Cricetulus griseus: one gene and its partners. The protein of the gene in region 3 purifies or fractionates together with the protein of the main gene of each other region. This does not show direct contact. Links are inferred from orthologs where the notes say so. Each region holds a gene or a part of one and is shown on either strand. Other genes may lie near its edges.

The links.
Region 1: the proteins of Cct3 (region 3) and Dcaf7 purify together in Homo sapiens (affinity purification with mass spectrometry; 4 studies listed by BioGRID and IntAct, counting the BioPlex papers as one, with this or other methods). This does not show direct contact. The link is inferred for Cricetulus griseus from reciprocal best matches to the Homo sapiens genes CCT3 and DCAF7.
Region 2: the proteins of Cct3 (region 3) and Tle2 purify together in Homo sapiens (affinity purification with mass spectrometry; 3 studies listed by BioGRID and IntAct, with this or other methods). This does not show direct contact. The link is inferred for Cricetulus griseus from reciprocal best matches to the Homo sapiens genes CCT3 and TLE2.

Annotation. Positions count from the first base shown.
Region 1 is NC_048600.1:118,968,209-118,971,957, reverse strand, and holds the start of Dcaf7 (DDB1- and CUL4-associated factor 7), read right to left. Parts: upstream 2,421-3,749; 5' UTR 2,198-2,420; coding exon 2,060-2,197; intron 1-2,059. UniProt on the Homo sapiens protein: Involved in craniofacial development. Acts upstream of the EDN1 pathway and is required for formation of the upper jaw equivalent, the palatoquadrate. The activity required for EDN1 pathway function differs between the first and second arches.
Region 2 is NC_048598.1:102,337,712-102,341,360, forward strand, and holds the end of Tle2 (transducin-like enhancer protein 2), read left to right. Parts: coding exon 1-52; intron 53-122; coding exon 123-270; intron 271-886; coding exon 887-1,037; intron 1,038-2,167; coding exon 2,168-2,244; intron 2,245-2,994; coding exon 2,995-3,102; 3' UTR 3,103-3,239; downstream 3,240-3,649. Other genes in the region: Tle6 (transducin-like enhancer protein 6), read right to left, coding at 3,633-3,649.
Region 3 is NW_023276806.1:66,186,968-66,190,616, reverse strand, and holds part of Cct3 (T-complex protein 1 subunit gamma), read left to right. Parts: coding exon 1-41; intron 42-1,653; coding exon 1,654-1,771; intron 1,772-3,649. UniProt on the Homo sapiens protein: Component of the chaperonin-containing T-complex (TRiC), a molecular chaperone complex that assists the folding of actin, tubulin and other proteins upon ATP hydrolysis.

The DNA of each region.
Region 1 (3,749 bases), on a different chromosome or scaffold from region 3:
AAACTCACAAGGTAGCTGGACATGGTGACATCTATAGATAATTTCCTGCACTTGGGAGGTGGAGGCAGGTAGATAAGGAGTTCAAAGTCTGCTTGGATTACATGAGACTGTGCCTCAAAAACAATAATGCCACAAGATATGAATAACATATAATGTGCATTATTCACAGAAATGATGAAAGTAAAGAGCACGTTTCTGAGTCAGATTTTATTTTTTTGTTTGAGATAAGGTCTTACTTTGTAACTCAGATTGGTTGGGAGCTCACTATGTAGCCCAGACTAACCTCAAAATTACAAAAATCCTCCTTCCTCAACCTTTCAAGTGCTGGAATTACAAATAAAAGCCACCAGGCCCAGCTTGAGGGTTACTTTATATTACATATTTGCTCCTCAGAAGGCATTGGGCATGTTCATAGTTTTAAATCGAGGTGCTGGAGACAAGATCATTCACTGCTCATGCAGAGGACTTAGTTCGGTTCCCAGCACTCACACTGGGTGGCTTACAACAGCCTGTAACTCCAGCTCTGGGGGACTGTGACACCCTCTTCTGGCCTCTGCAGGTAGTCAATGTCTCCTCTTTTAGATAAAAGACTCTGGAAGAATTTAAAGGGAAAAAAAATTAATTTGTGTGTGTGTGAAAAAAAAAAAAACAACTATGGTCCTTTGATGGACACATTTTACATTTATTTCTTACACAAATTCTTAAACAACAGCTTTTTTCTAGTGGTCTTAAACTTACTAACACTACCCACACCTGGACCCTGAAAGGCAGCCCCAGTTTTCCTGCCACTGTGGGAGAAAGAGCCATCAGAGAAAAGAAATAGGTTCTTGTTTAGGAACGGGGTGATCAGTGCATACTCTCTGGGACTGTAAACTACTGTGTATGTGTGAAGTATTGGCAATGAAAGACAATCCCTTTCACCCATTTCTCAAAGAGGACGAAAGAAATGAGGACCCTTACCCAGAGAAACACATGCGCTCCTAAAATACTACAAACATAAAATGTTCAAACCTTTTCACCTGAATCTTCACATTTAAAACCGAATCCCTTTCCTGTATCACTGTGGGCTAGAAATAATAAAATTGGTCTATGCAAGGTGGTCTAGCGAAATCCTAGACCACCTACTTCTTCACTCCTCCTAACATCTGGTCACTTGTCTGCAGTCTGATGATCCCAGGAGGAAGCAGAGTACTGGCTTTAAACACCACTGGTCAAAGCTTGCAGTAGCTCTGATCTCTTGTCATTCTTTTTTTTTTTTCTTTTTCCTTTTTAAACTCTAATTAAACCAAAAGAATTAAGTCAAGAGATGGGGGGGGATTCTTCTCAACACTTTCAAAACTATATCCCGAAGTATTAGCTTAAGAGCTCTCTCCTGTACCAGCGTTTTGATGGAGTGACGGATGTCCAGCAATGCTGCAAATCAACGTGAAAGGAACCACGAAAAGAAAAGGTCAGATGTCATCTTCCTCTATTCAGAAATAATGGCGGGATAATGCTACAGACCAAGGTTTCCAAGGATAGACTGGGTGTGTGTGTGGGGGGTGGACATCGGGAAGCAAAACCAATGACCAATGACAACCTAGCATTAGGGCTCTGTATCCATGAGAAATACCTGAGATGGGGAAGATCTTGCAATAAATAGCCCTAACAGAAATCTCGCGTGGCCAGGAATGCACGACCACCAATCCAAGCGCCCGCATCTTCCTCCACTGCCTCTCTCCCGCCCCCCGCCTAGCAACAGAAGCACTGCGGCAGAAGTGGGGGAGATGGGAGAGGCGGCACAGGACGAGGCTTCAACTCCGGTTTGAAACCCGCTACTGCCACCAAAACAAAACAAAACAAAACAAAAAAACCAAAACAAAACACTACGTCCCAGGCATGCCACGACACTGTCCTCAGTTTCCCCGGCTGTCAAAGTTAACACCCTCACCAGCAGGGCCACACGGAGGAACCTCCCCCTTGCTATGAAGGCAAGTTGGCGGGGCAGCTGCGGGATCTGGGGCTGCCGCCCACCTCGAGCACTCCCCGCCAGGAGAAGCCGAGCCTCTGCACGACGCACCTTGTTGTTGTACTCCTCCACGAAGCTGCCCAGCGCCAGGCGAAAGCGCTTGTCGGGCCGCACGCTCCAGTTCATGGCGTAGACAGTCCAGGGCGCTTCATATTTGTAGATCTCCTTCCGTTTGCCGTGCAGGGACATGGTGGCGGCTGGGCCGCAGAGCCGGCCGGAGAGGCGGCGGGCTGGGGCACGGGACGGGCGGGGAGCCCGGCTGGGGTCAGCGGGTCCGAGAGGCGGCGGGACCGGGGCGCTCAGGAACGGCCTAGCCCTCCGGCGGGTCCTCCGCTACACACACACTCCGCCCGGCCCGACCACCAGTTTCAAACAAGCTCCGGCAGCGACTACCACCTTCCGTTTGCGATGCCGGCCCGCCCTCTCGGAACGGAAGCCACGCGATTCCGTAGCGACGACGAGCGTTGGCTGCCGGGTATGTCCTTTCCAAACTGTTCTTTCTTCTTATTGGTCAATACAGCCTTAGCAACCCGCGTCCTCCTCACCATTGGCGGAAATGTTTGTCATTCTGCTGATTCGCCCCGCCCAACTCCAAGAGGCGGGCTCTTTTAAAGTCCCAAAGATCATTGGCTAGCCAAGATGTCAGTCAGACGGATAACGGCGCAGTGCGGGTGAATGGGGGCGTGGGTGGCCTGGGGGCAAGTGTACCCTTCTGCGCGCCTTCAAGTTCTAGGCCAAGGGTCCTAAGAGTGAAGCCTGTCACTTTTCCACTGTTGCTGCTGTTCTGAATGTCTCTCTCCGCTTCAAGTAACGTGTCAAATTACCTTAATGGAAGACTCCTGCGTTTATTGCATGGCACTAAATCCGGCGGTCCTGCAGCCTGTGCCAAACTGGGACCCTCTCCAGGCCCAAGGCCACTTTAAACAGTTTTCTTACAGGCCCGAGAGAGACATTCAGGGCCAGGTCAGCTTGATCGAGGCTTTCCTGCGCTGTCCTATAGACACTAGAAAGACTCCCGAATTCTAGGATTGATTTCCTTCCTCGCTCCGGGGGTGTTCAAAAGCCAAATGCTAACCCAACCTTAAAAGTCTATGTGCCATGAATTTGAAATGTACAAAAGCCTGGATCTAGATACATCGTTATAAAAATTTAAATGCTTTCAATGATATTGAAAGAGGTTGTATCGAATTGTTAGGCAATATAATCAAACACAGTTTAAAAATATGTGTATTTGTGTGTGCCTGAGTGTTTGTAAGTGTACCACATGTGTACAGGTGCCCACAGAGGTCAGAAGAGGCAGAGTTACAGATGGTTGTGAGACACCGTGTGAGAGCCTGGAATCCAACCCGGGTCTCTCCAAGAACAGCCAGGGCTCTCCAGGGTTGTACCATCTCTCCAGCCCATAAAGTACAGTATTTAACGAAAGTGATGTTAACACAGACACTGGAATCCTTGAGGGTCAATGGTATACATTTAGCAACTATCTTTTGGTCATGTTCACCTGTGTGAACAAGTCTACTGTGCATGCTTCTATTTTTATTTATTCTTGGTTTTTTGAGACAGGGATTCACTGTGTAGTACGGCTGTCCTGGAACTTGCTCTGTGGACCATGCTTGTCTTAAACTCAGAGATCCACCTGCTCCTGCCTCCAGAGTACTGGTGATTAAAGCTGTGTCCCACCACCATCCAGCAACGACAAAATAATACTTATCAAGAAATTTGGGCCGGGCGTTGGTGGCGC
Region 2 (3,649 bases), on a different chromosome or scaffold from region 3:
GCAGCGACGGTAACATCGTGGTCTGGGATCTGCAGAACCAGGCCATGGTCAGGTGTGTAGGGCGGCCCGGGTTGGGGTGGGGGATGCACGGGTGGATGTGGACGCCTGCCCTCCACCCACAGGCAATTCCAGGGCCACACAGATGGGGCTAGCTGCATAGACATATCGGACTACGGGACCCGGCTGTGGACTGGGGGCTTGGACAACACTGTGCGCTGCTGGGACCTGCGTGAGGGCCGTCAACTTCAGCAGCATGACTTCAGTTCCCAGGTGCACCCGCAGTCCTGGCCTCCCCCTCAGGGTGCCTCTCCTTGGCCCGGGATAGGATAGGACCAGGGGCCTCCTGAGCCGGCTGGGTGGGTAAAGCGTTTGCCTAGCTAGCTTGAGGACTTGAGTTCAATTCCCCATAATCCCCATAAAAAACTGTCTTTAACCCCGCTTCCCCCATCCCCCCATCCCCCCCCCCCGCATGTGGAGACTTGGGAACCCCCGGGGCTGGCTGGAGGGCCATGTTAGCTGAATAGGTGAGCTCCAGGTTCAGTGAGAGATCCTGCCTCAAACACAAGGCCTGATGGCACAGGTCTTTAACCCCAGCACCGGGTGGTTCCAGGATGGCCAGAACTGCACAGTGTGACTGTCTCAGAAATCCAAAGTAATACCCGCAGCAAAGAGTGACTCACTCAATGCAGTCTCCCAATTACTCAGAAGCAGGACTTGGATCCCAGGCTGAGCCACCTGTGTAGCTTCCTCTGCCTAGAATTCTGCAGTTCCCTGTGTTTGTGCCTTAGATTTTAGACTTAGGGTGTGACACCTATTACCGGCCACCTTTTTGTCCCCATGGGAGACGTGGGGCACTCCTAGATCTCGGTGCTTTCTCTTGCCCTAGATTTTCTCGCTGGGTCACTGTCCCAACCAGGACTGGCTGGCCGTTGGGATGGAGAGCAGTCACGTGGAAGTCCTGCACGTTGGAAAGCCTGAGAAGTACCAGCTGCGTCTGCACGAGAGCTGTGTGCTATCGCTCAAATTCGCTTCCTGTGGTACAGGCCCGGGAGGCCCCAGGGACAGTAGAGGGAGGATGGGGCACCCCAAAATGGCTCCTTAGAATGATTTACCCAGGCCTGTCCACGCAGCTGCTTATTGAAATCAAGGCCAGTTTAGGTAAAAGTTCAGACACACAGGTCTCAAAAAAAAAAAAAAAAAAAGGATGGACCAGGTGAGGTAGCCACACCTTTGATCCTAGCACTTGGGAGGCAGGTGGATCTCTGAGTTCAAGGCCAGCCTGGTCTACAGAGTTCCAGTGCAGCTAGGTCTACACAGAGAAAACATGTCCTGGAAAACAAAAAAAGCTACTCAAGTCACTCCATGTTGACCCTCTTACCTCCACACACCAAAGATAATTTTTTTTTTGTTTTTTTTTTTGGTTTTTTGAGACAGGGTTTCTTCTGTGTAGCTTTGGAGCCCATCCTGGCACTCGCTCTGGAGACCAGGCTGGCCTCAAACTCAGAGATCTGCCTGCCTCTGCCTCCCGAGTGCTGGGTTTAAAGGCATGCACCACCAACGCCCGGCTGATAATTTTTTTCAAGACAGGGTTTCTCTGTAGCTTTGGAGTCTGTCCTGGAACTCACTCTGTAGACCAGGCTGGTCTTAAAATCACAGAGACCCGATTGCCTCTGCCTCCTGAGTACTGGAACTAAAGGCATGTGCCACCACTGCCTGGCTAAAACAAGTTTTCTGCCAGGTGGCGCATGCTTTTAATTCCAGCACTTGGGAGGCAGAGGCAGGTGGATCTCTGAGTTCGAGGCCAGCCTGGTCTACAAAGCTACACAGAGAAAACTGTCTCAACCAAATAAACCAAAAAACAAAAAACCCAAATTTTCCTCATGCTACCTGCCATATGAAAAGACTCAGCCATTGAGAGAGTATTCCCTGGAAGCCTGGGTTGCCTTCAAACTCACAGCAATCCTCCTGCCACAGACAACCCCCTTCCCCCCAAATCCATGACTTCTCTGACAAAGGAAGCCAGTGGTCTGGGGTTTGACTGACAGCTCTCAGCTTTTTGACATTGCAGACTAGCAGGCTGGGGGAGTGAGTTTCAGAGCATTCAGGCGCAGAGCCCCTGCCCTGGGAGGTCCTGGTCTCTGTCTCTAACTCTCTGTCCCCTCCCCAGGACGCTGGTTTGTGAGCACAGGCAAGGACAACTTGCTTAATGCCTGGAGGACACCCTACGGGGCCAGCATTTTTCAGGTACCCACCCTCCTCCCCAGCTGTTGGCTGCCTTTGCATTCCGGACTTTGAGACCCACACACTTTGGGTTGCATACTGAGCACGATGTCCAGGGGTCCATGCTGTGGCAAGTGTCAGAGCCATGCTCCAGCAGTTCATGGCTGAATATTCCTAGAAGTGAATCGACCAAGCTGGGTTTTCATTCCCTCCTTCAGAATGGATTATTGCCATCCCGTCATTTCATTAGATAGGAGGCTGAGGCGGGACTGAGGATGGGATGGGTGTGTGATGCTGCAGACAGAGCCAGGGCTTCATGTGTGCTGGGTGAGCTCTCTCCCTGGTCAGTCCTAGGCTCTGCTTCGATAGTGGCTTCCAAGTCTCTTGGACCTTTTTTTGGACATGACATAGCTGTCTTCCAAGTTTCCCATCTTCCCCACCAACCTCCAATCCTGAGTAGTGCTGTTACATCTGAGGTGGTGTGGAATGCCTTTAAATCAACCCTTCCCATGTCTGGGATACCATTGACCCCTTGGAACATGACGAAGATCTGGGACAGGAGCATGGTTAGTTTGAGGCTGGCCTGGTTTGTAGAATGAGACTTGAAGAGAGAAAGCAGAGTGGCTGTAAATGTGTGCTTCGGTGGCCTCAAGCCATCTGAAGTTGGGTACCATCTCTCTGAGTCACCTGTTATGCTTGCCCCCATCAGCCTTTACTGTCCCCCAAAGTACCCTGCTTCTGGCTTGAACATCACCTCTCCTTTCTCTGCCCTAGTCCAAAGAGTCTTCTTCAGTGTTGAGCTGCGACATCTCCAGGAATAATAGATACATCGTGACAGGCTCAGGGGACAAGAAGGCCACTGTGTATGAGGTGGTGTACTAAGGCCATCTGCCTGCATCTTCAGGTCACCTGCCTGAGGATGGTCACTTGGATGCCGTTCCCTCTGCTCACACCCCAGCTCCCTCATTCCTGGTTGGGTGGGGCTGGAGGCACTGGGGAAATATATAACTATTTATGGACTCGCTTTCCTTTTGTATGTGCGTCAAGGGTGCGGAGGCTGGGCCAGCTGGGTGTCAGCCCCTATTGGTCTTGACCTCATTGATAGGGCAGATAAGAGGATGGAGGGCCTTGATGAGGGTCTCCACACCTACACCCAGCTGGGGTCACAGGTGTACCCGAGTGCTGGGATTAAAGGTGATCAAGAAATTGGAAGGCTCAGAGCCAGAGTCCTTCCAGAACTTGGGTTAAAAAGGGCTGGAACAATATCCCTTCAGATGACAGAACAGACCGTCTCTGCCTTCTCAATTGCTTTATTACATATGAGGAAGGGTTGGTACACCCATGGGACTCTCACACCCACCCACATCCACCACTGTGCAGTTGGGGGGAGGAAAAGATGGGAATGGAAGCTGTCAGTACTTGATCTTGT
Region 3 (3,649 bases):
TGAAGAAGTTGGAGATGGGACCACATCAGTAATTATTCTTGGTAAGAAGAATGTGGGGGGGTTGAAAAGGGAAATTAGAACTAAGGTAAGTTGTGGGTGGTGACTCAGCAGTTAAAAGCCCTGGCTGCTCTTGTAGAGGGCCAGGTTTTTATCCCAGCAGCATCTCAGAGCTGTCTAACTCCAGTGCCAGGGCATCTGATGCTCTGTTCTAGCGTCCTTGGGTACCAGGCACACATGTGGTGCCCATATATACCTTCAGACAAAATACCCATATACAAATACAAAAGAAATACAGTGTATTGTAGAGGTCCCTGGGATTTGGGCTGGTCTCAAACTCAGAGAGATCCGCCTGCCTCTGCCTCCCGAGTGCTGGAATCAAAGGTGTGCACCACCACTGCCCAGCTGGTAATTTTTTTATGTATTTTCTGCAATGGAGTGTAAAGCACCCTTGAGTAGGATGAGCTGTTTTATGTTTAGGGTGTGAGCTATGCAAATTTGTTAAATTCTGTGAAGTCACCACAAACAAATAGTGAATTCCAAACTATTAATTAGGCAATACAAGGTTAATAACTTTTTCTGACTACAGCATTTTCATCAACTAATGCATATTTTATTGCATGTGAATTGATTTGCTTAGAGTATTTTGTTTTTAAGCCAGGCTCTTGTTACATAGAACTCTTATGACAGATATGTTTACATGAGTTGTTTTATCTCTTTATATGCATGTGGGGGGTGGTTAGGTTTTATTTTAAACTATGTACATGAATATGTGTGTCTGTGTTAAGGATGTGTTCTCAGGAATACAGATGCCCACAGAAGTCAGAGGAAGGTTTTGGGTCTCCCAAAGCTGTAGTTACATGTTGCTTATAGCCACCTAACTTGGGTGATGGGAACTGAGTTAGGTGCTCTGTAAGAGCAGTTAAAAGCTCTTGACCTCGGAACCATTTCCAGCCTCACTTGCTCTTGCAGAAGACCTAGGTTTGGTTCCCAATACTCATGTTTGTTCACAACCATCCATAATTCTAGTTCCAGGGATCCCATGCCATCTTTTAAGCACCAAGCACCAAGCAGGACTTGGTACACATACATATATGTATACAAAGCACATGCATAAAATCTAAAAAATAAAATGCTAGTAGATACATGGGCAAGATAACTTGAAATAAGTTATGGTTTGTTAAGAATAGCCAGGAGGTATCTCAAGGTTGGCCTTGAGTTCCTGGTCCTCCTGCATCTGCCTCCTGGTGCTAGGGTTAGTGAGCCCAGCTTCTGTACTTTGTTTTTAGTGCCAGCAGTTTGGCTGTATCCTAAGGTATTGAGTTAGTAAATGCCCTGTGTATTTGTCTTTCTTGGGGAAAAAGTATTTTTATTTTTGTTAGAAAATTGTAGTATATATTTAATTAGAAAGATTTAAAAAAAAGAGAAGGGTAAGCCCTTAAGATCAATCTTTGATCATTTAAAATGTATCCAATAAATGTTTTTATGAATTGATGTCTATAAAATATAAATTCTGGAACAGTATTAACAGCCAAATGCATATTTGGTGAGAATCTGTTTTAGGGAAGTATCTTTTAGAAGCATAAGGAAATTAAGTTGTCTTCATCTCCTGCTACTTTCAAATGCATTGCCATGATGCCTGTGATCTTTTTGCAGCGGGAGAAATGCTGTCTGTGGCTGAGCACTTTCTAGAGCAGCAGATGCACCCAACAGTGGTGATTGGTGCTTACCGCATGGCACTGGATGATATGATCAGCACTCTGAAGAAAATCAGGTATGGAGGCAGAACTGGAAATGGAGAGTATGGGAGGCTCAGATTGACTGGAATATATAAATATTAAAAGGAATACGGATTACTCATGTTTCATTCATGTTTCATTTTTGGAACCTATATAAAGGAAGAGCTCCACAAAGTTGTCCTCTGACCTCAACACACATGCTCTATGCTTCTACATATCACACACACACAGCTTTAGGGAGGGAGGGAGGGAGGGGGGAGAGAGAGAGAGAGAGAGAGAGAGAGAGAGAGAGAGAGAGAGAGAGAGAGAGAGAGAGAGAGAGAGAACAGATAGTCACTTGTGTCTGTGACCCAGTGTTGGGAAGGTGGAGACAGGAGGATTCCTGGGGCTTAGTCTGTTGGGACTGGCAAACTCTAGGATGACACAAGATGTTGATCTCTGTTCTTTACACCACATGCGCATACCAAGAGAAAAATAAGTTTAGTACATGCCATGTTAGTAGCTGCCATGGAAAAATGTATCCTATGATAGACCTGTCTAGCTAGATATTCAAGTCTACTGAGGAGCATAAGGAGTGAGATATTTAGAGTTATTCGAGACTTACTGTTGTGTCCTGTCCTGTTGTGTATGAGTACTGCTAATTTGGTTGCACTGTGCTGTGAAGATAGCAGCTAGCAGTTTTCCATTAAGAGGAAGAGGACCACACCTGAAAATGCTGCTTGAATGTAGAGAACTACTAATTAGGCTATATTTGCTTGGTGCAAATAGTACAATGAAGAAATTATACAAATACATGCCTTTGCTGGGTGGTGGTGGTGGTGGTGGTGGTGTGCTACTTTAATCCCAGCACTTGGGAGGTAGAGAGGCCAGCCTAGTCTACAAAGTGCCAGGACTGTATGGAGAAACTTTGGGTGGGTGGGTGGGGGGAGTATATGCTTTAATACCAGCAACTTAAGATGCAAAGGGAGACGCTCAAAAAAACCAAAAGCAAAGCCAGGTGTGGTGTCACATGGAAAGCAGAGGAAGATGGAGCTCTTCGTTCTGCTTGGTTTACATAGTGAGTTCCAAAACAGCCAGAGCTACATAGTGAGACCCTGTCTCAAACAAACAAAAAAAAAAACCAGGTGGTTTGGTGGTGCAAACCAGGACTCAGGATGTAGAGTAAGGTGGATCTCCAAGTGTTCCAAGATAACTGGGGCTACACAGAGAAGCTCACCAATCTCACGCGCCCCCCCCCCAAAAAAAGAAAGAAAACCACAAAGCCAAAAACTTGTGAACAAAAGAAGTTTATAACTTCTAACTTTTACTTAATTTTGGAATTTTAGTTACAAAATGATAGGAGTCATAAAACGGTATTATAAAAGAAGTAATAAAAAAACAAAAAAGAAGTGATTATTTTGGTGGGCTTTAGCTAGCTTTATTTATTTATTTATTTATTTATTTATTTATTTATTTATTTGTTCATTTTGGTTTTAGTTTTTCCAGACAGGGTTTCTCTGTGGCTTTTGGAGGCTGTCCTAGAACTTTGTAGACCAGACTGGTCTCGAACTCACAGAGATCCTCCCGCCTCTGCCTCCCGAGTGCTGGGATTAAAGGTGTGCCCAGCCTTAGCTAGCTTCCTGAGTGCTGGGATTAAAGGCATGTGCTTACCACACTTGGCATAAATGAAATCTGTATTGTTGCTTAAAGTAAAACCAAGGAACTGGAGAAATTTGGTTCCCAGCATTCATTTCAGGAGGCTTACGACCATCTGTAACTCTAGGTCTTGCTACCTCAGGCACCTGTGCTCACTTGTGTGTGCGTGCGTGCGTGCGTGCATGCATGCACCTGTGTGTCTCAGACAAGGTCTCCTTTATAGCCTTGGCTGGCCTCACTGCTGCTCCCCTGCCCTCATGCTGGGATTAAAGTCACAT